Schizosaccharomyces pombe: one gene and its partners. The main gene of each other region encodes a partner of the protein of the gene in region 4 in a complex. Each region holds a gene or a part of one and is shown on either strand. Other genes may lie near its edges. The genes, in order: dad5, dad1, ask1 and dad2.

Region 1 (5,404 bases), on a different chromosome or scaffold from region 4:
AAGTGATGATTTGCAAAGGCTTCTCTAATGTTTCTTTTAGTATGGATACCTCAATAGAAAAAGTCAAAGACCCAAAAAAAAAATAAAATAAAGGTCCTTCTGATGAACAACAAAAACTTTTTTTTACCTCTATTCTTTTGCTCGATAACAAATGGAATGCTTTAGATTTCGAAAGACTTTTATTAATCATGTTATCAAGTGTTCCTCCATCATCATCTTCCTTGTATACGGATATGTCGAGGAATGTAATAGACTGGGCCAACTAAGCAAGTCATGTTTGATAGGCGATTTCTCAGCCAAAGTGGGTAGACTGTATTTGTATGGTTTTGATCATTTTTGGTACTAGTCAGTTTCATGTAAAGTTTGGATTTAATTATTGGGTTTGACTCAAATCTCAATTTCATATTTGTGTTAATGTTAGTTTCATTCATATACTTTCGTCAGCATTTGTTTATGAAATTTCATGTTTCTTTTGCGAGCTCTTTTACTACTGCCCCATCTAGTCTGCATCCGTTCTCATTATCAAGAAATACTGCGGTACTGGTGCGAGGGTAGATGATTATCAAGGTAGGATGAAAATCCGCTCCACAAAGTTGTTAGTGATAAGTGGTAAAAGACGGTATGTGTTTGAGGTAACCATAATCGCCAAGATAGACAAGATGCAAGTGGAGCATTGTCGGCGTTAAAGTTAGTATTTTGATTTGTTTGAGCTATCAACATGAGTAAGTGTGCGGCGGCAGGCGAGTCGCAAAAGGAAAAAAAAAAGCCTTCATTTAGTTATCAGAGCATCGCCGACGTATACCTTTTTTCCATTGATAAATTTGTGTTAGTCAGTGCAGTTGTTCAACACAATCGGTCCTCCGTTTATCGGTAGCTCTTTTTTGCACTTTGACAAAGCACAAAATTCGTTTACATGCAATCATCTATTACGGATGTAAATGTCCGTCATAATCAAAGGAATGCCAACAACGCCAAGTGAAAGCGAGATGAGTTGGGAAAATAGGATCGCAATTTGACATTCCTACGTCTTCCTACGTCTTTCTTGGAATGAAGTAATCAACTCTTCGTAAATTAGCAGGGACGAGGAAAATATGCGACTGTTATCATTTTTAGCGCAATAAGGATAAGAAATGAGTGATTTAGGAAATAAGCAACTGGGAGATATCCATTATCACTTCCATAAGCGATAATGATAAACCGCAGGAAAAACACGTGTGAGCATGAAAAAGGGTATATATACATAGACGGAAAGGGGCTTCATCTTTTCTTTTTCTTTTGTTAGGGGCGTGGTGAATGGAAGTATTTCTTTGTTTTATGGGGAAGCGTACAAAATTGTGAAACGAAACGATGTATGTGTATGGAGTGTAGGAGTCATTCATTTTCATGAAAGAAACTATAATAAAAATGGGGTATATGATTAGAAAGGGATGAGTGAATGTTTGAAAAAATTACTTATAAAATGGTAATGAATATGATTAGAAAAAGCGGTATGAGGAAGCATGGTTACTAAATGAACCAACTTGATTATATAAAAAAAAAGAAACAAATTAAAAACTAATTTTCATCTAACTCAGGAATTCCTCCTTTGAAAATAGCCAAACATTAACTAAAAAAATTAAAAAAAAAAAAAGTAGAAAAAAAATGTAAATATTACAAATACTTCCCAAACTCCCATAAAGCATTCTATGACGATTTCCTTACACCAAGCAATTTTCCTGTTGGATTTTATTTGTCTCGACTGGTTTGTGTATCCCTGTTTCCTTTCTTTTGTTTCCAAGAGAATCATTTCCAGGGAATTGATACATTTGTCCATGCTAAGATAAAATCCATTGTTCGGTCAACTCACTTCCGATATATCTGAAACGAAAAAACAAAACCTGATTAGAAAAGCTATATGTTTTCACATATAAGAAGACTATATGTCAAACCCCATCCTAGCGTCGATATGAAATGGAACTCTGTGAAATGATAGATGTGGGGGACCTAAAAGATAAACCCCAGTGTAGTGAAATCTCGATGCTTTTGAAACTGAATAAAACCCGAGGATATTAAGACAAGTAGTTTATTAAAAAAAAAGGTTTTCCGATCGTAGTTGAGTAAAGTTTGAAAATTCAAACAATAATTAAAACAACGGATGCACATCACGCTGCTGCGTCTTCTCTTGCACGGACATTGACTTCCGTATGTAATTTGTCTAACGATCGTGCTCTTTCCATTTCTTTTTTCCTTTAAAATACTCATTTGCCTATCTTCCTCATAAGATGCCTAGCATGTCGAGCTTACGGAGAATTTTTATTTCCTTTGATTTGGACAAAGCACCTCATCCAACATGATTGTGATCGGAGCTTTGGAGCACTTTTCATCAGTTCCGTCTTCATCCTCCTTCTACACTTCCATGGAAATTATGCAAAACTTGATAATTCCATCCTTACCAATAATTTTGCCTATTTCCACGGAACTGACCCGAAAAATTTAGCAAAAGGAACGATTTCGGTATTACTTATTAGCTTGGAAATTATGTCTCGCTAAACCATATAACGAAAGTTTGGTTTTTTATCAGTAAGCGAAAAATTTACCGTCCCCCTTTTCCTTCTTGTCAGCTACATAAAAGATAGGTGCGCTGCGCTGGTCGCCTTTTTCTGCCACTCTTTCCACGCTATTTTACGCTCTTATTCATTTTTGAGGAATACTAACGTCGGCCGGTATTGTTGGAAATCGCTGCAATTTGTTAAATTGAAATACCACTCAAGTGGGTAATGGTCTCCTTTAATTGTCGATACTGAAGGTTGATTGCATTTTAGTGCGGTGTCTTAAAAGCTGCACTCGCCCATCACACACGCGTTTGGTTTGTTTACCTTCCATCTACCTGTCTGCCTTCTTTCACTTTCACCTTACACCATGCGTCGTTCTACCATTGTGCCAACTAGTCGAACAAGCAGTTCATCTCCATCTCCCAGTCAAATGAAAAGCTTTCAAATGAATCGTTTGGTGGACCAACTGTCCAAGTTGCAATCCAACATGTCTCATTTGGAAAACCACTTACATGTTACCGCAATTCAAGCAGAAGCCATCCGACGTCTTGGTGCTCTTCAGGCCTCGCTTCTGATGGCGTCTGGTCGCGTTATGTCCGAAGCGAGGATTCAAAAGTCTTCAGATGCTGTGGAAGAAGACGTTCCTATGTGAGTCTCCAACTTTTTTGATGCAGACCTCAAATGACAATGATAAAAAGGAGAATACAAGAGACAAAGTGCCCCAATGAAGGAGAAATATAACAGGAAAGGAAGTAGGAATGTGCTCTTTCTTAATTAGATGGGGCTATTTCTTATTTTACTGCAACAATGCGGTATTTGGGGCTTCTTTCAATATGTGGGTGTTGGAGTTGTATCAACTATGCATCCGGAATACGGCTTTTCGGCATTTTACGCTATGGGAGTTTTGCGACTCTCGGGCTGCACTCCCGAAACCTATGTTACTGCATTGTACGATGCAGTTCTGTAAAAAATAGCAGGCTAAAAGAGGGTGTTCTAGTTCGTCTAATAAGTGATCTCGTTCATTGGTCAGCTCGGTCGGCTAAGTAACCAAGGGAAACTGCAAAAATTGGATACCAGAAATGATTGGTCAATTGCGCTTCACAAAACAGTCAGTGTACCAATCATATGGTTTTTATTTGAGATAGCGCACAATCATTGGATAGCTAGCTAAAAAAAGGTAAAAGTGGTTCCTTTCGTTAGGCTTCTTTATTTTCACCTTACGATTTACCGAAGAGAGCTTCTTCGACCTCGCTTAGATGGGTGTGAACAACGCCGTCCCTTTGCCAACCTCAACGAAAAAAGAAAAGCAGGTTGTACTAATTTTAAACGTTTCAAACGATTTTGTAAATTGATTTCTTTAAGCTTTGGCTCCTCCTTATTACATACCTAATCAATAAATATCTGTTTTCTTTTGCAGTTTCTTCTTTTTTTGCTCTCTTCCAGGGAAAACGGAAATTTGATTTGAGGAAGCCATAGCGCCACCATTCCCCAATCTGTCTACAAATTACTTTTTTTTGTTCCACCACACCTCTGGATTGTATTCTAGCTTATATCTGTTTTATTTTTCTATATTTGTTTTGGTATTTTAGTTCGTTTTTGTTGTTTTATTTCCCCTTTTTAGATCGTTTTTGTTTTGGGGTTCACGTCTTTTTTGTTTAAAGTACCTGTTCATATCAAAGCAACTTGAACTTCTTGCTATTTTTACCTTCGCTCGTGTGGTTTGCACAATCATTTCAAAGTAGTACCTAACTAAACAACGTTGTTGGTGTGTCTTGGTATTCACTGCCATTTCGTGTTTTCCATTTAAAGAAGCTTTCTTGGTCCTAGCTTAAGATTTCCTGTTTTTTTATATCTTACCTTATATTATTATTTTTTTGTGATTTTTTACTACAACTTTTTTTTTGTTTAACGTTTGAGAGGCGATCTCTTTCGTTCATTTCATTCGTTTATTTTTTGTTTCGGTTTTTTATTCGGAAACTTCCCTTTTTCTTTCTTATCCACATTTCAAGCTGGCTGAAGTTACTGATTTTTTGGGTATCATTTTTGGATATATCCCTGCTTTGTGATTAAACATTTTTTGCATAAAACCTTACTTATGGATCTAAAGTTTTCCAATTTTTTCAAGGAAGCGGAACATCCAGCACTTGTCAAAAAATTTGACAAATCTACCACGGACGAATCTTCCTCCAAAGAAGATTATTCCACGATGTCAGACCTCTGGAAAATGTTTTCCAAGGCAAAGTCGGAACTGTCTAATGGTCGTCGTGTCGAGAACTTGACATGGCGTTTAATGTCTATAAATTTGCAAAAGAACTTAACACCAAATGGTGATTCAAATACTTTAACCCCAGACACTTTCTCTGATCCCACTGCCCCTTCTAGTGCTCAATCCGTTCCTCCTACTTCTTCTGCTGAAACCACTGCCGATAACTCAGATACTGAAATGAAATTAAACCCAATACCTGCATATAGCGTACCTGCTGATACCACTGGAAGCTCGTTGATGGAATTTAATTATATTCAGCGTCGCGTGCGTAAAACAAGCTTTGACGAGTCTACTGCAAAAAGTAAAAAGCGCTCTATTGCCGATTCTCATTTTCCAGATCCCAATGCTATGCAAAGACCCCATGATTTGGAATCCCAACCATTTAGCTACCCAAAGATTCATGCTTCTAATTCTTTTAATTTCGTTAAGAGAGACATTGACAGCTCTAATTTTTCTAATCTTGACGCCTCAGCATTGCCTATATCTCCTCCTTCTGACTTTTTTAGTGTTCATTCTCACAATTTGCCTAATGCTCCCCCTTCCATTCCCGCTAATTCTAATAATTCTGCTTCTCCTAATCAGCGTATCAAAGCTTCTCCAAAGCATG
Region 2 (5,205 bases), 300 kb from region 4:
AAACCTAACAGTAATCTATAAATTTTAAGGGCTAACATTACATTCAAAAGTTATTAGAATGTTGCTAATAAATAGCCAGAACATTATTTTTATTATTCATTCTCATTTCTTACTTATTTAAGTGAATTAAAGAAAATGCGTAAATTAGATTTAATCCGTTAAAGTACAAGCAAGTCCCGAGTGGCTCAATCGGTTTAGAGCGTCTGACTCTTATGATGGTCATCAGAAGGTTGCGAGTTCGAGTCTCGCCTTGGGAGTTAATTTTTTGGTTATGGTACTTCAAGGCCAAGTAGAATAATCAATTAATTATTATGTATTTTTACTTCAATAATTTAGTTCCCAAAACCCGTTACTTTATTAATTAGTATAAGCTGATGAATTCACTTATTGAGTCGCCAACTTAACGATGAGGTGTTAGACTAGCCTGCCATATATACTTTTGGCGGTAAATATTTCAATTTCGTTAGGTATTTTTATCTAACTAATGTACACGTTTCTAGCAACCTGAAATGTAGGCTTGTAGAACTAGTTGAAAACAGAACGTTTGGATTATATGAATGATAATGAATACACCGAGCATCTTTTATTAGGCAGACTCAACAATTGACAACTTTGCAATGTCCATTGAATCCTAAAAATAAAAATAGACAGGTATATATACCTATAATTTTTTTGGTGGCTAACAACCTAACTTTTTCAATTAAAACAATTAACCGGCATAGTCCTTCGTAAATTCCATGCACACTTGATAAATTTAAATATGTTTCATCGCGGATATTCCGTTTACTGTTTTATATATTTATTTACCTATTGTTTACGTGCTGCGTTGTCATGGCAATGTTTAGCTTGGAAATACCAGCAATCTCAGCTGGTAAGCAAACATTAACAACAACAAAGGCAATATGTCTGCTTTCAAAAAGAGTGGATCCAAGTCAGGTAATTCAATTGTTCCTTTTTCTCAAATATCTTAAAGTTTTTGCTAATTTTTCAGAGACTTCAAAGAAACTTGTGGTCGTAGGAGATGGCGGTTGTGGTATGCTTGATAAATATAGGTGAATGACAGCTGGTCTAATGTACTAATGCTTGATGTATAGGAAAGACATGTCTTTTAATTGTATTCTCAAGCGGAACTTTTCCCGAGGTATGCCAATAGATCGAACAATAACTGTTTAAGTGCAGTGTTCATATGATTCATGTACTCAGTTCACTTGAATTATCTAAGTATACTGATTTCTAACATCATGCTAGAGATATGTGCCTACAGTGTTTGAAAATTATATCACCGATATAACATATGGACCGAACAGCAAAGTTATTGAACTTGCTTTGTGGGATACTGCTGGTCAGGAGGAATATGATCGTTTACGTCCTCTAAGTTACCCGAATAGCAACGTTATTTTGTTGTGTTTCTCAATTGATTGTCCGGCTTCTCTGAATAACGTTACGGAGAAGGTATGTGCTCTATAATTTATATTGCTAAACGTAGCTTTGGGTTTCTTCAATGTCATTTGCGTCTAGCCATTAGTATTTCATCTTTCTCATATTATTTTCTAACATTTTTCTTTCAGTGGTATCCTGAAGTTCAACACTTTTGCCCTAGAACTCCCATCGTTCTCGTCGGGCTAAAAGCGGATTTACGCAAAGATAGGAATGCTACTGAAGTACTAAGAACCCAGGGTTTAACACCAGTAACCTACCAACAAGTATGTCAATGATAAGCTAACTTTTTTCTTTCGTTTATTTTTTTTAACATATTTAGGCTCAATCCGTTGCTTTATCAATGAACGCTCCATATGTCGAATGCTCTGCCAAAGAAAACACTGGTGTAAATGAAGTTTTTCAACTTGCTGTTGGCCTCACTATAAAAAAATCATTTTCGTTTTCTAAAAAGTCTTGCGTGATTTTATAATATCTTGATCATGGCCTTTATTTACTTAATCTTACCATTTTTGATGTCTTCATTTTTGCTTCGCCTATTTGTATAGCATTTGATGAGATTGTTGGAACATAAGAAGCAAGAAAAACGCTTTATTTACGCATTCTAACATTGCTAATTGCATATAAACCAATACTCCAAACGTTTGCTGCAATAGAGACATTATGCTTGTATGCTTTCTTTTAATCTAAGCATATTGTGTAGCAGTTTCCTTTTCAGAATTTTGCTCCTATCTCAACTTTTTATCTTTTCAGGTATTTAACTAGCCAATATGGTTTAGATGGATTATCGACTATTGGAGCTATTTTGTGATTTATAATTTGTTTATTAAGACGTTATCTGTTTGATTCTGAATATATGTCAGCAAAAATCAATTGGTCTTAATGTTTTTTTTTACTTTTACTTCAAATATGCCTATATTTGTCCGAAACTTTGAAAATCGGTTTTTTAACCCTGACTGGTTCAGGGTATTCATGTCGTGAATAAAACGATAGTTATATAGAAGATATTGAAATGAATACTTATGATTCCTTTTACCTTTTTATTATGCTAAACTGCATTAAACCCCTTTTATAATTTAAATAATACCATTAAAATGGTAATTTCTAAAAGGATTCGTATAGTAGTAAAGAAAAAGTTTACTATGCAAATATTAACATCAACAGTTGTTCTGCCTCTCAGACGATGAACGGCTTATTTAAAAATTGGCAGCTTTTAGAAGAATATAGGAAGATTAAAAACTAATATATATATACAAACACATTATTAATGAAGTGACTTAAGGTTTGTGTATTGTAATATGTAAGTTAATTTAAAAGAATCCTGACCTTTGACCAATTTTTGAGGACGCTATTAAATTTATAGATTCATAAAAAACATATAATAACTAATAATTTAATTTAATATGCAAATTCTTTGAAACAAACTGCGTTAAGGCATATGTTTAGCGGCAATGAAAATACATTTAGAAAAGAACGACCATCAAGGTGCATCTAGCATTTCACGATCTTTCTTCTGTAACACTGAATTTTGAAACTCCTTCCAAAGAGACGCGACATTTTCAAATTCCTTTCCAACACCGTTAATGCTTTCAAGATTTTTATTTAGAGCTGACATAAGATTCACAACTTCATTCATACTTTTTGAAATTTGTAAGGTCAAAAGACGACGCCTTCTTTCAAAATCTATATCATCAAAATCTTTATTTTGCTCATTTTGTATGTTTTCAGTAATATCCATATTTTCTGAGGACATGGTATGTTAATGGCTAGTGTCAAAGTCAAGCATGAGCCAAAGTTTATCATAAGGTTACAATCAAGTAGATCTTATATTAGATTTAACTATCTTCATAATTAAATGCCAAAATTGAAGCTTCCGTACGAGCATAGAATATTAGTCAAAAGAGACATGTTATGCATATTTACAAGTTGGAATAAACAAATACATTAAATATAATAATAATAATAATAATAATAAATCCGGATCAGTACTACAATGTAAATAGAAAAGGACTAAGCTTCTTTTAAATTACTTATTTCCTGAGCGCGGCGTAATCTGCGTTCAAGAATCTCATCTTCCTTAAGTAAAGACCTTTGTAAACGAGCTTCACATCCTACAACAGGGCATACACAAGTTGGATTTAACAGAGACAAAATAGCATCTTTTTCATAAAAATGATTACAGGCTGTCGATAATATTGGGTGAACAATTGGTTGTAAAGTTAAAGGGCATCTGTTATCAAAGGTAGCTGAATATACCATCACTTCATCTGCTTCCTGTTCTTCAGTGTTCATGACATTAAAAAATGTTTTCATAGAAGGAAAGTCAGAACCGTCTGTATTTTGCTCATGCCATATGGTTTTTTTAAATTCAATGTATTCTCCTTGTGTGCCATATTTACCATAGTCGGATTTTTCTTCGTATTCTTGAATGAGTTCCTTAAAAATTTGTGTATAAATATCCAACAAACTTTTATTCTAATTTTGTTAGAACAATTGAATATGAAACAGTAAAAAAATACGTCTAAATTGATGTTTTTACTTCATCTACATATAATAGAAAAAGTAGGAAAGTCATTTCCGTGGTACGTACTTCAAAATCACTTATATTTTCACTGGTTTTGTTAGCCAATGTATCCACCGATTGCTGCATCAATAACAATCTCTGCTTTGCATCCAACAGCTCTCGGATCCCGCTATCAAGCATGTCCAAACACTAAAAGGCAAGTGTTAGTCAGAAGTCATAAAGTAAGCAGCATGTCATATTATGTCTATTTTAGGCTCTCTCTCAATAGCCGGAAATAAGAGGAAGAAAAATATTAGTTAAACAATGTTTTTGTATGTATATTTGTACAGCGAACTTCTTTTTAAAAAACTGTATCTCGACATAACACCACTTTCGAGTTTTAAAAGCAATTCATATTAATTTTTTCCATTATCTTTCGTAATAATGGTACACATACCTCATTATTTTTTATCTCAGCAGCAACTAGAGCACATTTTATCACCTGTTTAATTGAATCGTCAATTTCCTTCAATTGGAAGTCGAAACTGCAATGATTTTGGTTTCCAGGTAATAAATTTTGACTTAAAGCCTCCAAGGAAGTTTTTAATTGTGCTTCACTCATTTACGATTCCATTCGAGAAAGAAGTAGTTACGACGTTTAATTAGTAGACAACGCAATTTGGGATTGAAAACCTATTAATTGCATATGAAAACTAAATGCCACAACACTTATTTCCTTAAATAAAAAAAGAATGTTTTTTAAGCAAGGGTAATAACCACGTTTTAAAATTTAAACTCCAGTACGTTTTTATGAAGATTGATGGCATATGTATAAAGACTAAATAAATTCTTATTTACTGTCACGTTTAATACAAATGAATGGGTTATGAAATATTCTCATTTGGAATTAGAATTTATAATGCATACTTCGGACAATTAACGCTTGACTTTTAGTACCTCTATTACTAAACCAACTATTCAATATGATAAACCAATAAAGGATGATTAAGGCCGTGAAATGTATAAATTAAATTATGTTATTTTCAAAATATTCCATAGATTAGTAGTAAAGTAAAACACGATTAACAAAACTATCCGAGTCTTGTCAATATTATTCATTAAAAAAGCAATCATGAACAAACTCTATCCGGAGACGAAAAATTAAGATTGATAATTAACAAGCTCTTCCCGTAAAAGTGGCGGAGTTGCCTCTATGTAAGGTATTTTATGAAGTTCACAATAGGCCTGGCCCACAGTAACATTTT
Region 3 (5,974 bases), on a different chromosome or scaffold from region 4:
CGAAACATGGACGGTAAGAGCCCACCCCGAAACGTAACATGTCAAGCTCAAAATAAGCAAATTTGAACCCATATGCATGCGTTAATAGCGTTTATCGTAATATTACCGCAAATACTTAAATTTTGTTAGAGCATTTAAGGATTATTTAGAATACGTAATATTTCAACTCAAAATACTGGAATGAGTGGGAAAGAAAAATAAATTGATCTAAACGCTGAAATTAAACCTAACAGGGGATTGATTAAAGCTTGGCTCACGAAAAGATATTATGACTTAAAAATGCAAGAAAAAGGAGAAACAATCAAAGGACTTTCGTTGATCTCGTAGGAAAAGAATGCACTCTCAAATTGCATTATTAATCCTACATTCAATTAATTAGCTTTTGCTTTCATCCATGCAGTCACGGTTTCAAGAGAAAAGGATATCAAATTTTCACAAAGAAATTAAAACAATGATTAACAAACTAAATGACACAAGTTTTCTAAAGTGCTTGGAGTAATGAATATTATCTCACAACTAGAATTAATCCTCAAGGTGCTCTTCGATGTCTTCATCATCATCAGCGTAAGCATCAAGAGGAGATTTGTCTTGATTCTTAAAGTATTCTTCACGTTGTTTGCGAATACGGCGGCGTGCTGAATAACCCCAACGGAATTCGGCATCAGGATTTTCTTCTTCTTCCTCATCATCCGTGTCAAATTCTCCATGTTCTTTGGGCTTCGTGCCATGCGTCATTTCCGGATCTAAAGTACCATCTACTTCGCCTTCTAATAAAGATTTTCTATGTTCTCTCTCCTGTATCTTGGCTCCCAACTTCATCAAATATGGCCGGATTAACATATATCCTCCAACATATACGATAATTCGAATCCAGTCCTTCAATGAATATGATTGTAAATAGCCTGCAACGTCAAACCCCATTTTCCTTGCACAAAAAAGAGTGGTGGATACTAAGTTCACCTGTCTGCTCAACCAGGCAAACTATTATTAACCAAGTCACTAAAATTCTTTAGACTTTTTTAGAATTTTTAAAACCTCGTTATTCGTCTTAACGTATATTCTCAATGATATGCTGTAAAAAGATTTATTAATTAGGCTATAATACTAATTTATTTAAAAATTTTATAGTTATTTGCTTTCTTAGTTTATTTTAAAATTATTTTCATACAAATTTTACTTGGTTTACAGTATTTATACCGTGACTTATGATTCTCTTAAAAGAAGAATTTTCCAAATTAAATAGAACGTACAGTAAATAAAAAATTATATAACATAAATATAAGGTGGGATTTTATGAAGTAGACATATGTGCTTAGAAAATAAATAGAAAAAATGCGAAAGTAAGGTTCACTACTAAAGGCGAAACGAAGGTGATAACTTCAGCAGTGCTTTATCAGAGTTCCCAACTATCTTCTTCTTTGACAAAACTATCATTAGAATCATTCAAGGTTTCTAATTTCCTCTGCAAAGACAGGCTTCGCTCGTTGGCTTGCTGAGAAGAACCCACCCCCATGGTATGCGGGCTGAATTGGATAGTTTTAGGTGGAGACATTCCACTTGGGTTAATGCTATCATAGCTTTCATGCTCAAATTCTGCAAATAAAGAAAGAGCATGCGAAGAGTTTCTATCGTTAAGTGAAGGCATGTCCATTTTCATTGATATGGGAGAAGGCGATACAAAAGGAGAAGAATCAATATCCATTACTTCTTGAGATTGCAAATTCTTAGGCTCACGTGGAGTCACTTGTACTTGCCAATTTGTATCTAAAACGCGATGCAGAAGGGCACTACGACCTGTATGAGGATTATTTTCTGGTTTTCTTAGCGGAGTCTGCATCCTTGCCGGGATGGGGGTCAAAGCTGCATCATCTAACGAAATATCCTCTAAGGAGACATCCATCTTCTTAGGAGTGGACTGTACAAAATCCTCGTTTTTTGTATTATCTCCTTGTACAGCTGCATCGGGAAAATCAGATTTTCCGACAAAAGAATGCCTCTTTTCCAAATGTTCATTCTTTGTGTGCAGCTGTAGGTCCGCCTCTGTAGAATTAGACATAACATCTTGATCGCTTGGATTGGATTCTACTGGAACAGGTTCCTCTACACCCGAAAGTGAAACATTGGCACTTGCTTCAAAAAACTGCTTCCAAAACTGTTTTCTGTTAGCTTAATTCTTAAAATAATACAAATTACAAGCTGAATCATGAGTGGCAGTTGCCATTGAACATACTTTTGAAGAGTCCCATATAGTGTTACAATTTTTTGCGTATTTTTCCACGATAGGCAAGATTTTGGTAGTCACTGTTCGATGACATTTAGAAAAATTTGCATCAATTTCGTAAAGTGCTAGAGTAATCGATTGTTCCAATCGTTCTAATCTAATTCTTTTGTTAGAGAATGTTTATCTACAGTCGCGACAAGTTTACTGCATACTGTTCCAAATTGTTCATAAGAATGACATCTAATACTCATAAAAACTTTGAAAATATTATTTCTTAGTATAGAAACTCTCAATGGTGAAATTTATGGCGAACTGCAACTGAGGTGTAGGTATACTAGCGTCCATTATTAGCGATGTTTCGTAAAGTAAACAAGTTAAATTGGCAATATACAGTGAGATTTTTGTAAGTTCAAGATAATACTAATACAATCATTGTTGAGTAATAAATATGAATTTTAAAGTTTTGTTTACTTTCCTCAGTGGACTAAATGCAGACTGCAATGATCAAATGATCCATAGTAAACAAACATTCAACTTGTCTTTTGCCAGCATCCTCAAGATCCAAAATGAGTAGTATCTTTGGAGAGAATATTGTTTCAGATAGTATAGTAAATATGGAGTTGACGAACCCTGATAATACTACGACTATGCATCCCATCTATGAAACTAACATTGAAAAGGAAGTCCAGCAGGAGTTTTCTGACAATGTCTCTGAAAAAGAAACGATTGACTCAACTAAAAGCAAAATATCTTTAGAAAATATACAGCAAGAAATGGGAGCACTTGCCAAGAAAATTTTTCATAAATTAGGGGTTAAAGCAACCGACTTGGGATTTTCTAATGAGCATGATGACTCGCAGGATTCATTACAGACACTAGCGCCTTCTCCATCATATGTTCCACTTTTGAAGGTTATTGGAAGCTCTGAGGAGGTCAATAGCAACTTGGTATTAACCGACTTGGAAACAAATACTGATGGATATGATCCTAAATTTTTGATTTCTGTTAGGAAGTTTTTGATGGGATCTCCCAACTCTGGCTTTGTCGTTAAACATGAGAAACGTCTTCCAGATGGACCGCGTGTTCTGGCCCTTCGAGCCATTTCATCAGTCGATGAAGAAAATAGAAAAGAGCGCCTATCTCCTGATAGTGATCCTGTTGAAACAGAATCTGTTTATGTTGACAATGGAGAATTGTCAAATCAAAAAGTAGAAACAGTTGAAATTTCCGAAAAAGAACAAAATGATGATCCCGCCGGATATTCTCAATACCTTCTAGAGTTCAAGAAGAGTAAATGTCAAAAGAAAGTGCCGACTTTAGAGAGTATTGAGGAAAATGAAGGAACGGAACCTCATGACAACTTGACCTTTATGACTGATTTGGGAACTCCATACTATTCTCTGGGTAATGAATTTGAAAGAAAGCAAATTTTGGATGAATACGGGTTGCTGGCTAATGATGAAAACCTAGTTATTGGACACACGTTAAGAGCGGAGTATTGCTTTATGTTTGATGAAAGCGATATCCTGCAATTACGCAATTATGAACATACAGAAAAGGAACTTAGTGTCCTTCAATTTAAAGGGGTCTCGTCACGTTGGGATTTTCGTTGCTGTAGAGAAGAACGTTTACTCCGATTGCTACTATGTTTCGACAGTGAACATACTGGGCAATCTTTCATTCAACTGAACGATCCTGAAAATGAAAATGAAAAGGAAGAACAAAATTCCATTAGCATTAGGGAATTATCCTACTTCAGCACAAAACTTATTTCATTGATCTTACCCAAAGAAGCACATAAGCAGCGGTATATCATGCTAAGCTCCTTAGCAAAGACAAGGGAAGCTGATTTCTTTTGGTCTGAAGAGGAAAAAACTAATTATACAAACGAGCTTCTCAGCAACCCATGCAAATTCCTTTGTGAACTAGATCATTTCGATTCATTTCCTCATCAACAACAAGATCTACTCTGGAAGTACTTAGCGGAGTTTTCTGCTAGTTTAGAGTTAGACCCCAACCTTGCCCTTTGGAAGAAGCAAGTTATTTTTTCAAAAATCGGTCATCCGAAGTTGCTGGTTATGCCAATATCTAGTTTCCACTGCGTACAACGTTTCCCTGACCTTGTTTGCGTTCAAACTTCAACTGCTGAAACGTTTTTGTCTGTGGATCGTGAATTAACAACTTATGACCTAAACACTATTAAGTTGTTAAACACAGCACCTAGTCGTACAGCTCAAAACTGGCTTTTTATCATGCATCACCTAGAAATTGTAGGCTATTTATTTCCACATTTGGTTCATCTCGATAAACAGTATAGTTTATTAGATTATGCAAAGTCTGTTGAGCACATTCCAGAATTGGGCACTGTACAACGAAAAGGGTTTTTGAACAAAGTCGCATTTGATGATAACGAGGCTTTACTTTACCAAGTTTAAACGTACTGTCACATAATTTTCTATCACATGTTATCGACCATTCAGTGTTGAGGTTCCTAGGAATCTCTTCTAGGATGGTAGTGTACCTTTTAAGCGAAATTTTGTTTCATCTGCACATTCATTATTTACAAACCTATACGAACTTGACAAAAGTTTTTACGAATATACTAAATATTGACTTATTAATACTTGAAAATATTATCACTTTTTTTGAGGTGGTCTAAGTAAAAATGTGTAGGTCGAATTCGTCACATAGGGTAATAAATGTAAGTGTAGGACCGTTAAAGTATGCTCTAAATAATCTTTTAACATATAAAAAGTAATGTGGATTATTTGCAAACACCATAATGAATGTTGATCAAAATACCGGTTCAACGTCGATAAATAACAAACAGCAGAGCCCACCGATACACAAACCTAAAATTGCAAAGGGACTTTAATAGTCGTATAATCTGGAGAATGAAATGCTTAGCGACCGATCATTGCAACGTGATAATAGGTTGGCTTAGGTGCTTTGTTTATTTACATTTCAATGTTAGTTGTCATGGAAACGAAATTCATACAAAATAAAGCGTATGCGGCTGTAAACAAACAAAAGATTCAACATTTACATTTACCCATTTTACCCAAAAATGGGGTTTCATGGATGTTTAAGTACAGATGAATATGAACCTGAGTTAATTGAGAAATATGGGAATCCTGAACCACCTTCTTCAAGCATATTAATTAATACACGACCAGTCAATCCATTTTTATCCACTTTCGTGTATGTAGGAAAGGCTAGCAGTTCTGAAGATGTGTCTATATCTACAGGTGAGGAGGAAATGCGAACCCTTTTAGTTGCGTCTGCTGTTAAAGATGCAAAAGGTTGGGTGTACCTTTCCGGAAAAGACGTTGAAGAAATAAAACAGAAAATAAAAAACCTGCAGGGATTACTTGGTGTTTCTATAAAAAAACTGGCTGTCGAAGCCAAAATTAGAGAAGCTGCTAAGAATTTGATGGTTGCCCAAGCTAAGGAGAAAAAAGGAAAACATAAACAAAGTACGATAGAGCATTACGAACAATGTTCTCGTAGAGTTAGAGAACTTTCTTCTAAGATATGGCTTATTGAAAGGAAACTTGCAGAATTTTATATGCACCTATTGAAGCATATGGTTGCTGTGTGCATTGCTGAGCTTAAACCAGGTAGCTGTAGCAAGGTATCTTCACCGGTTTCTGCCATCACCGCTGATGAGAGCGCAACTGGATTTCGAGATGAAGAAATAATGAACAATGAGGAAATTGAGCAGCTTGTAGAGCGTATGAGCCGTATACTGGA
Region 4 (5,693 bases):
TCCCAAACATTAATTAATAAATTACATAGTTGAAACAACATTTTACTGCCTTGTAAAAAGATGTATGATTTTAATCTTAAAGCAAAGGTATATGATATAACAAATTTAAAATCTTTTTCGCTATTTTTATTGTAAGTACCTCAGTTTCTTGCTAGTCTTAGAGAGTTCAAGCAAAGTAAAGCTCGATCAAGCTAATACTGACACGATTCAACGTCCTTTGTAACCTTTGGAAAAAGGACGAACACGAATCGTATACACACCAAAATGCTTATAAAATACGAACATGTTACAGAGCGCTCACAAATGTCTGAATTTTAAGAAACGTAACTATCGTAGATTGCATATAATAGGAATAAGTAGAAAAGAAGAGTAGATAGTAAAGTTAGTAAATTGCAAAGTTAAAGGCAATTTGCATCTAAGGCAAAAACTGGTACCAGGGGATAAAAAGAGGGAATGAAACAAAGAGGTCTTTGAAGATGATCATGATTGGAACAGTTTCGATAATATGGTAATTAAATGGAGATCCACATAATGCTCAATACTACGTCAATAGCCTCACCGCTCTCTTTGATAGTAGTCATTCCATCCTTTTCACAATTCCAGCAAGCAGCGTGAGCTGCGTGAACGCCTCTAGAAGGATGATCTTCGGGAAGCTTTTGTACAAGAGTGGAACTAACAATCCATTTGTAAGACTGGGTTTCCTTATTCAAAGCATTTAATACGGCATACTAAATGAGACATAAAGTTAGCTACCATACATAGATATTTGTAAAATAAAATGAACTTACAATAACAGATTGATTCATTTCAGCTGTTTTGTCTCCGTCATATTCGGAAGCCTTCAAAACCGGCTGAGCAGCTTCTAGGCAAATTTCTTCAAGTTTTTTGGAATCTATAGGCTATTTTCATAATCAAATTAGTAAACGAATCGCGTATTTGACGACTTACACAGCTCATTTCGAAATGGGGTATTTTGATGAGTACAAGGAGGGTACGCAGTGAGATAAAGACACCCACAGCTAGTACGACGTTTAACGGTGACAACCCCATCGATACAAAGTTCAACGCGAACATAACTCACGTTAACATTTCTTTTTATTGTTGATTTCTTTTTGCTTTAAACCTGAAGTTAAGTAAGGATTTTTCGCTTACAGCGAATCGTCAACTTCACGTTGGGATGAATGAGATAATTCAAATAAAGCATCAAGTATTGCTTTAAAGGAAAACAGCGTTTATTTCTATTTCTTACATTCTTTAATTAATACCAATTTGAAAACAGTTGATGGTTGAAACATCGATAATTGATTTCGAAAGAAATGCATAATGATTTTGGAAACCATGTCTTCCTCTAACCGTAATAATTGTATCGAAAAAACTCATAATTACACATAATTACTGGTGTTTGGATTACCAAAAGACATTAATGTGTGCTTTACGCTTTTAACAATACTCTTAGCAAGTCCAGTTTCAGTAATGAATTGAGTGTGTTTCTTTGAAGACGGGCCGAAGGAAAAAACAACAATTTAAATTCTCTGAACTTAAAGTGTATAGAATCTGTTTTTAGTTATCGAAATGTTAATTCAGCATGAAGGGAAAGCGATTGTTTTGCTGTTCATAGAATCCAAGTATCAATGTAGCGAAATCATCCAAATCTTTAACTATTTGATCATTGAATAAAACTACAAGATAATTTATGTTTAGTATTCCTACCATTAGTTCTTTCAATAATTTTACAAAAATGGAGAAGATCTCATCGGTACTGCGATACATAAAGATGCTACTACCCAAAGATTTTAAATCAATGATCCTTTCAATCCCCTAACCCTTTTATCCTTTTCCTTTTTTTTCTTTCCTATAGATTATTTACTGACTTTTATTTACAGGGACATTCTGTGATATAACGGTATTATAACTTGTTTAATTGTTATATAAATGTAAACGTTATTGCCGAAAACCATGTATAAAGTGCGTTATTCTAAAACTGTATATAGAATATAATAACATACTGCGCGAAATTTAATTGTGAGATCGAACAATTCAGTAACTGAGTATTTGGAGTAATAGTGAATTTTTGCGAAGGAAAATACTCGATTACCATGTAAACAAGGGTTTGATGTATGTTAAAAAGTTGTTAATTAGAAATGGATAATAGCCACTCTATTATAATTTGTTCTAAAAAAGTTGGGTATTCTTTAACGACCCGTTGGAACCGATCATTGAAGAAACTTCAATAGTGGATGAGACATTTTATGAATTTTTAAATTAGTCAAATACGGTTCAAATTTTAGAAAACATACGTGGAAGTTGCATCCTGTCTAGAATAAAAAATTCATTTCCTTATGTATCGGAACGTTGACAATCTTGTTGACCAAAAGAATATACTATCGAACCCAAATCTTAAAAGTCTTTTAAGCCCATTATACCTTGTGTAAAAAAAAATAAAAATAAAAATAAAAGAAGAAATAGTAGAGAATATGCACAGTTTTGATCCTCTTTAAAACTTTAGAGGGATGAAGCAATGCATACTTACTTAGTAAAATATGGATATAATAAGCTAGCTAAACTTGACCCATTATTTGAGTAATTATATTCACTATTCAACATAGTTTCCTAAATTCATTATTACTTTAAATTAATGAACTAACTAATTTATTAAAGATGAAAACAAATGGTTAAAATTGAGTAAAATCAATCATTATATTTTTTGTTAGTCTCTATTATCAACCTCTTTATTAGTAATACATTCCGAGATATAAAATTCCAGAAACGGAAATTATTTGTTTTAAACGTATAATTACAAAACCGAAATCGCCTTATATGGTGTAGGAGATAAATCTAGTAAATTTCGTACCTTCTTCTACAAACATTTGGCGTGAACATGCTTCAAGCAAGGATTGAGGAAAAGCAAAAGGAATACGAACTAATATGCAAACTAAGAGATTCTTCTAATGATATGGTTCAACAAATAGAAACGCTTGCTGCTAAATTGGAAACTTTAACAGATGGAAGTGAAGGTATGTTCATTACGAGGAAAGTATATAAAAGAGCCTTGTCACCAATCTGTTTAAGTGCTATTCATGTGAACAAGTATAAATATCATTACATTGAGAAAAGCAAAGAAACAAGTGAATTGATTGGATCTGCAGGATTGCAAATAAAAGCAATCATTTGCCGACATGTCTCTAAATGAACTTCTACCTCTCAATAATTCACCTAAACGTAAAAAATATAATCTGTTTATTTATTTATTTTTTCTATTTTCACTACTACTCATACATGCTTGACGACTCTTTTTAATCCATTATAATAAATGTTTGACACTCAAATCACTAACAAAATCAGCTGTTGCTACTGTTCTCAATAATTGGCCCAGCATTTTTGAGTCAATACAGATAGCATCCCAACATTCAGGAGCTTTAGTCCGAATTCCTCCTTCTACTTCAAATACCAACGCATCTGCTACGGAGCAAGGCGATGTTGAAGAGGTATAAAGACTTAAATACTCTTTTTAATTTCTCACTGAAGTAGAAAAGGCCAAGAATTGGTTAAAATAAATATTATTGTTCTGTCCATTTATTCATATTGTTTCTTCTATTTCAGAATTGGTAAAGCCGACAGCAAACCCAAGTTCCAAGTATCTTCACTTCCTAATGAAATGGAGAATGAGATCACCTTGTAAACTAAATGATATCTAAATTTTTCATTTGGTCATTTTCTTTTGGCGTTCGTCCTGTTTCGCTTGTTTGAATACTCCCAGCATTCCCTTACGACAATTAATTTCTTCAAGGACAAACAATTTATTCAGGAGTGATACTATTGTTATGTAATCAACAAATATCGTGGTCCGATGCCCGATTTTTTAAAAAAAAGTTAAACTTATTTATCTTAACCTTCGCCAACCTCTCGCCATCTGCCACTTACCTTTTTAAAAATATTTCTTAGGAAATCTTGTTGATCTTCCGCTAGAACTTTTTTAAATAACCAATAAAAGGCGCTTTTGCTGGTCCATTAGTTCCATTTGTCACAAATCTGCTTTTTTTACGCAGTTTTACATCTTTAGGAAAAATCAAATAAATTTTGTCAGTTAGTATTTAATATGCCTGTTGATATCAGTTCTCTTTTGCATGCTGGGTATTCAAACCCGTTGCTTCGTGAATGGCAAGGTGTACGTCCCATTACCAAGTCATCTCTAATGTATCCTATCTTCATTTCCGAAATAGATGATGCTAAGGAAGCCATTGATAGCATGCCTAATCAATTTAGATGGGGTGTTAATAGATTGGAAGAGTTTTTGGGTCCTCTCGTCAAAAAAGGTCTTCGTAGTGTAATTCTGTTTGGTGTCATCGAGTCCAAAAAGGACTATTGTGGTAGCATGGCCGATTCCGAAAATGGACCAGTTATTAAAGCCGTTAAAGAAATTCGTCACCTTTTTCCGGAGCTGGTTGTTGCTTGTGATGTTTGTCTCTGCGAGTATACTGATCACGGCCACTGTGGTCTGTTATATGAAGATGGCACTATCAATAATGCTAAATCCGTTGAGAGAATTGCTGAAGTTAGTGGAAATTATGCCTTGGCAGGCGCTCAAATAATTTCTCCTAGTGACTGCATGGACGGTCGTGTTAAGGCGATTAAGCAGAAACTTGTAGAGTTGGAACTGTCTCATAAAGTATGCGTTATTTCCTATTCTGCAAAGTTCGCTTCTGGTTTTTTTGGTCCTTTCAGAGCTGCTGCTAATGGTGCCCCAAAATTTGGTGATCGCAGCTGTTATCAACTTCCCTGTAATGCACGTGGCTTGGCCAAAAGAGCAATTCTTCGCGATGTTAGAGAGGGTGCTGATGGTATTATGGTAAAACCGGGAACACCTTATCTCGATATTTTGGCAATGGCTTCTAAGCTAGCAGATGACCTTCCTATTGCTACTTATCAAGTTTCAGGCGAATTCGCCATTATTCATGCTGCTGCTGCCGCTGGCGTATTTGAATTAAAAAGACATGTGATGGAAACCATGGATGGCTTTATGCGTGCTGGCGCTAACATAGTTTTGACTTACTTTACTCCTGAATTATTGGAATGGCTAGAATATTAAACAAAAAATAATGCGAAATCAATCATCTTCAAAATTATCATGATTGAAAAATTATTTTGTTTATATTCTTTAATGGTCTAGAGTTTCACTTATGAAATTGTTTTTCGAATCTGCGATTACCGGTTCTTGTTTATTAAAAATTTTCGTTTATAATCTGTAGCAGTTATTTACGAAAGAAATTGTTTTTCTTTCTTTTAAAATACTTTAAATTCGTGTGTAGAACAAGATTTTATCTTAGACAACCGTAGGTTGCCAAATTATCGTGATATCCTATTGACTCCTTTTGCAAGCGATGAACGGACATGTTAAAAATTTAATATTTAATTTATATAATTTGATAGATTTGTCTCAATACTTCATGGCAGTTAGAATAAAGTAAAGTACATTATCCACGTTTACTGACTATAACTTTCTAGCATGATAAGATAAATTAAATATTCACTATACTTCACCCAAAGTAATTGGAGCATGTTCTTCTCAAACATCTTTTACCTTATGAGTCAACATTTGGTAGCTCAGTGAAGCTTCTGACTATTTATGTATATATCGATATAACTTACAATGAAAAAGTATGACAGCTGCAAATGATTCAAAAGTAAAATGCAAC

What was found.
Region 1: dad2 (region 4) and dad5 share a complex: the UniProt entries of both Schizosaccharomyces pombe proteins name them as parts of the DASH complex.
Region 2: dad2 (region 4) and dad1 share a complex: the UniProt entries of both Schizosaccharomyces pombe proteins name them as parts of the DASH complex.
Region 3: dad2 (region 4) and ask1 share a complex: the UniProt entries of both Schizosaccharomyces pombe proteins name them as parts of the DASH complex.

The regions. Positions count from the first base shown.
Region 1 is NC_003421.2:1,668,100-1,673,503, reverse strand, and holds dad5 (DASH complex subunit Dad5), read left to right. Parts: upstream 1-2,641; 5' UTR 2,642-2,898; coding exon 2,899-3,183; 3' UTR 3,184-3,560; downstream 3,561-5,404. Other genes in the region: SPOM_SPCC417.03 (uncharacterized protein), read right to left, coding at 1,140-1,261, 1,453-1,501; DNA-binding transcription factor, nutrient sensing, zf-GATA-type Gaf1, read left to right, coding at 4,627-5,404. UniProt on the Schizosaccharomyces pombe protein: Component of the DASH complex that connects microtubules with kinetochores and couples microtubule depolymerisation to chromosome movement; it is involved in retrieving kinetochores to the spindle poles before their re-orientation on the spindle in early mitosis and allows microtubule depolymerization to pull chromosomes apart and resist detachment during anaphase.
Region 2 is NC_003424.3:3,086,136-3,091,340, forward strand, and holds dad1 (DASH complex subunit Dad1), read right to left. Parts: upstream 3,206-5,205; 5' UTR 3,191-3,205; coding exon 2,918-3,190; 3' UTR 2,649-2,917; downstream 1-2,648. Other genes in the region: Rho family GTPase Rho4, read left to right, coding at 903-936, 992-1,033, 1,095-1,141, 1,249-1,452, 1,569-1,703, 1,760-1,909; Smc5-6 complex non-SMC SUMO ligase subunit Nse2, read right to left, coding at 3,448-3,912, 4,028-4,150, 4,398-4,562; taz1 (telomere length regulator), read right to left, coding at 5,102-5,205. UniProt on the Schizosaccharomyces pombe protein: Component of the DASH complex that connects microtubules with kinetochores and couples microtubule depolymerisation to chromosome movement; it is involved in retrieving kinetochores to the spindle poles before their re-orientation on the spindle in early mitosis and allows microtubule depolymerization to pull chromosomes apart and resist detachment during anaphase.
Region 3 is NC_003423.3:1,561,115-1,567,088, forward strand, and holds ask1 (DASH complex subunit Ask1), read right to left. Parts: upstream 2,538-5,974; 5' UTR 2,451-2,537; coding exon 2,434-2,450; intron 2,379-2,433; coding exon 2,231-2,378; intron 2,153-2,230; coding exon 1,394-2,152; 3' UTR 1,212-1,393; downstream 1-1,211. Other genes in the region: app1 (actin cortical patch protein), read right to left, coding at 1-8; protein trafficking protein Pga2, read right to left, coding at 523-921; protein meu25, read left to right, coding at 2,788-4,656; septation protein Uds1, read left to right, coding at 5,289-5,974. UniProt on the Schizosaccharomyces pombe protein: Component of the DASH complex that connects microtubules with kinetochores and couples microtubule depolymerisation to chromosome movement; it is involved in retrieving kinetochores to the spindle poles before their re-orientation on the spindle in early mitosis and allows microtubule depolymerization to pull chromosomes apart and resist detachment during anaphase.
Region 4 is NC_003424.3:2,783,334-2,789,026, reverse strand, and holds dad2 (DASH complex subunit Dad2), read left to right. Parts: upstream 1-2,734; 5' UTR 2,735-2,878; coding exon 2,879-3,014; exon of another isoform or gene 3,015-3,045; intron 3,046-3,342; coding exon 3,343-3,491; 3' UTR 3,492-3,868; downstream 3,869-5,693. Other genes in the region: dynein light chain Dlc1, read right to left, coding at 513-728, 789-899, 949-957; porphobilinogen synthase Hem2, read left to right, coding at 4,097-5,086. UniProt on the Schizosaccharomyces pombe protein: Component of the DASH complex that connects microtubules with kinetochores and couples microtubule depolymerisation to chromosome movement; it is involved in retrieving kinetochores to the spindle poles before their re-orientation on the spindle in early mitosis and allows microtubule depolymerization to pull chromosomes apart and resist detachment during anaphase.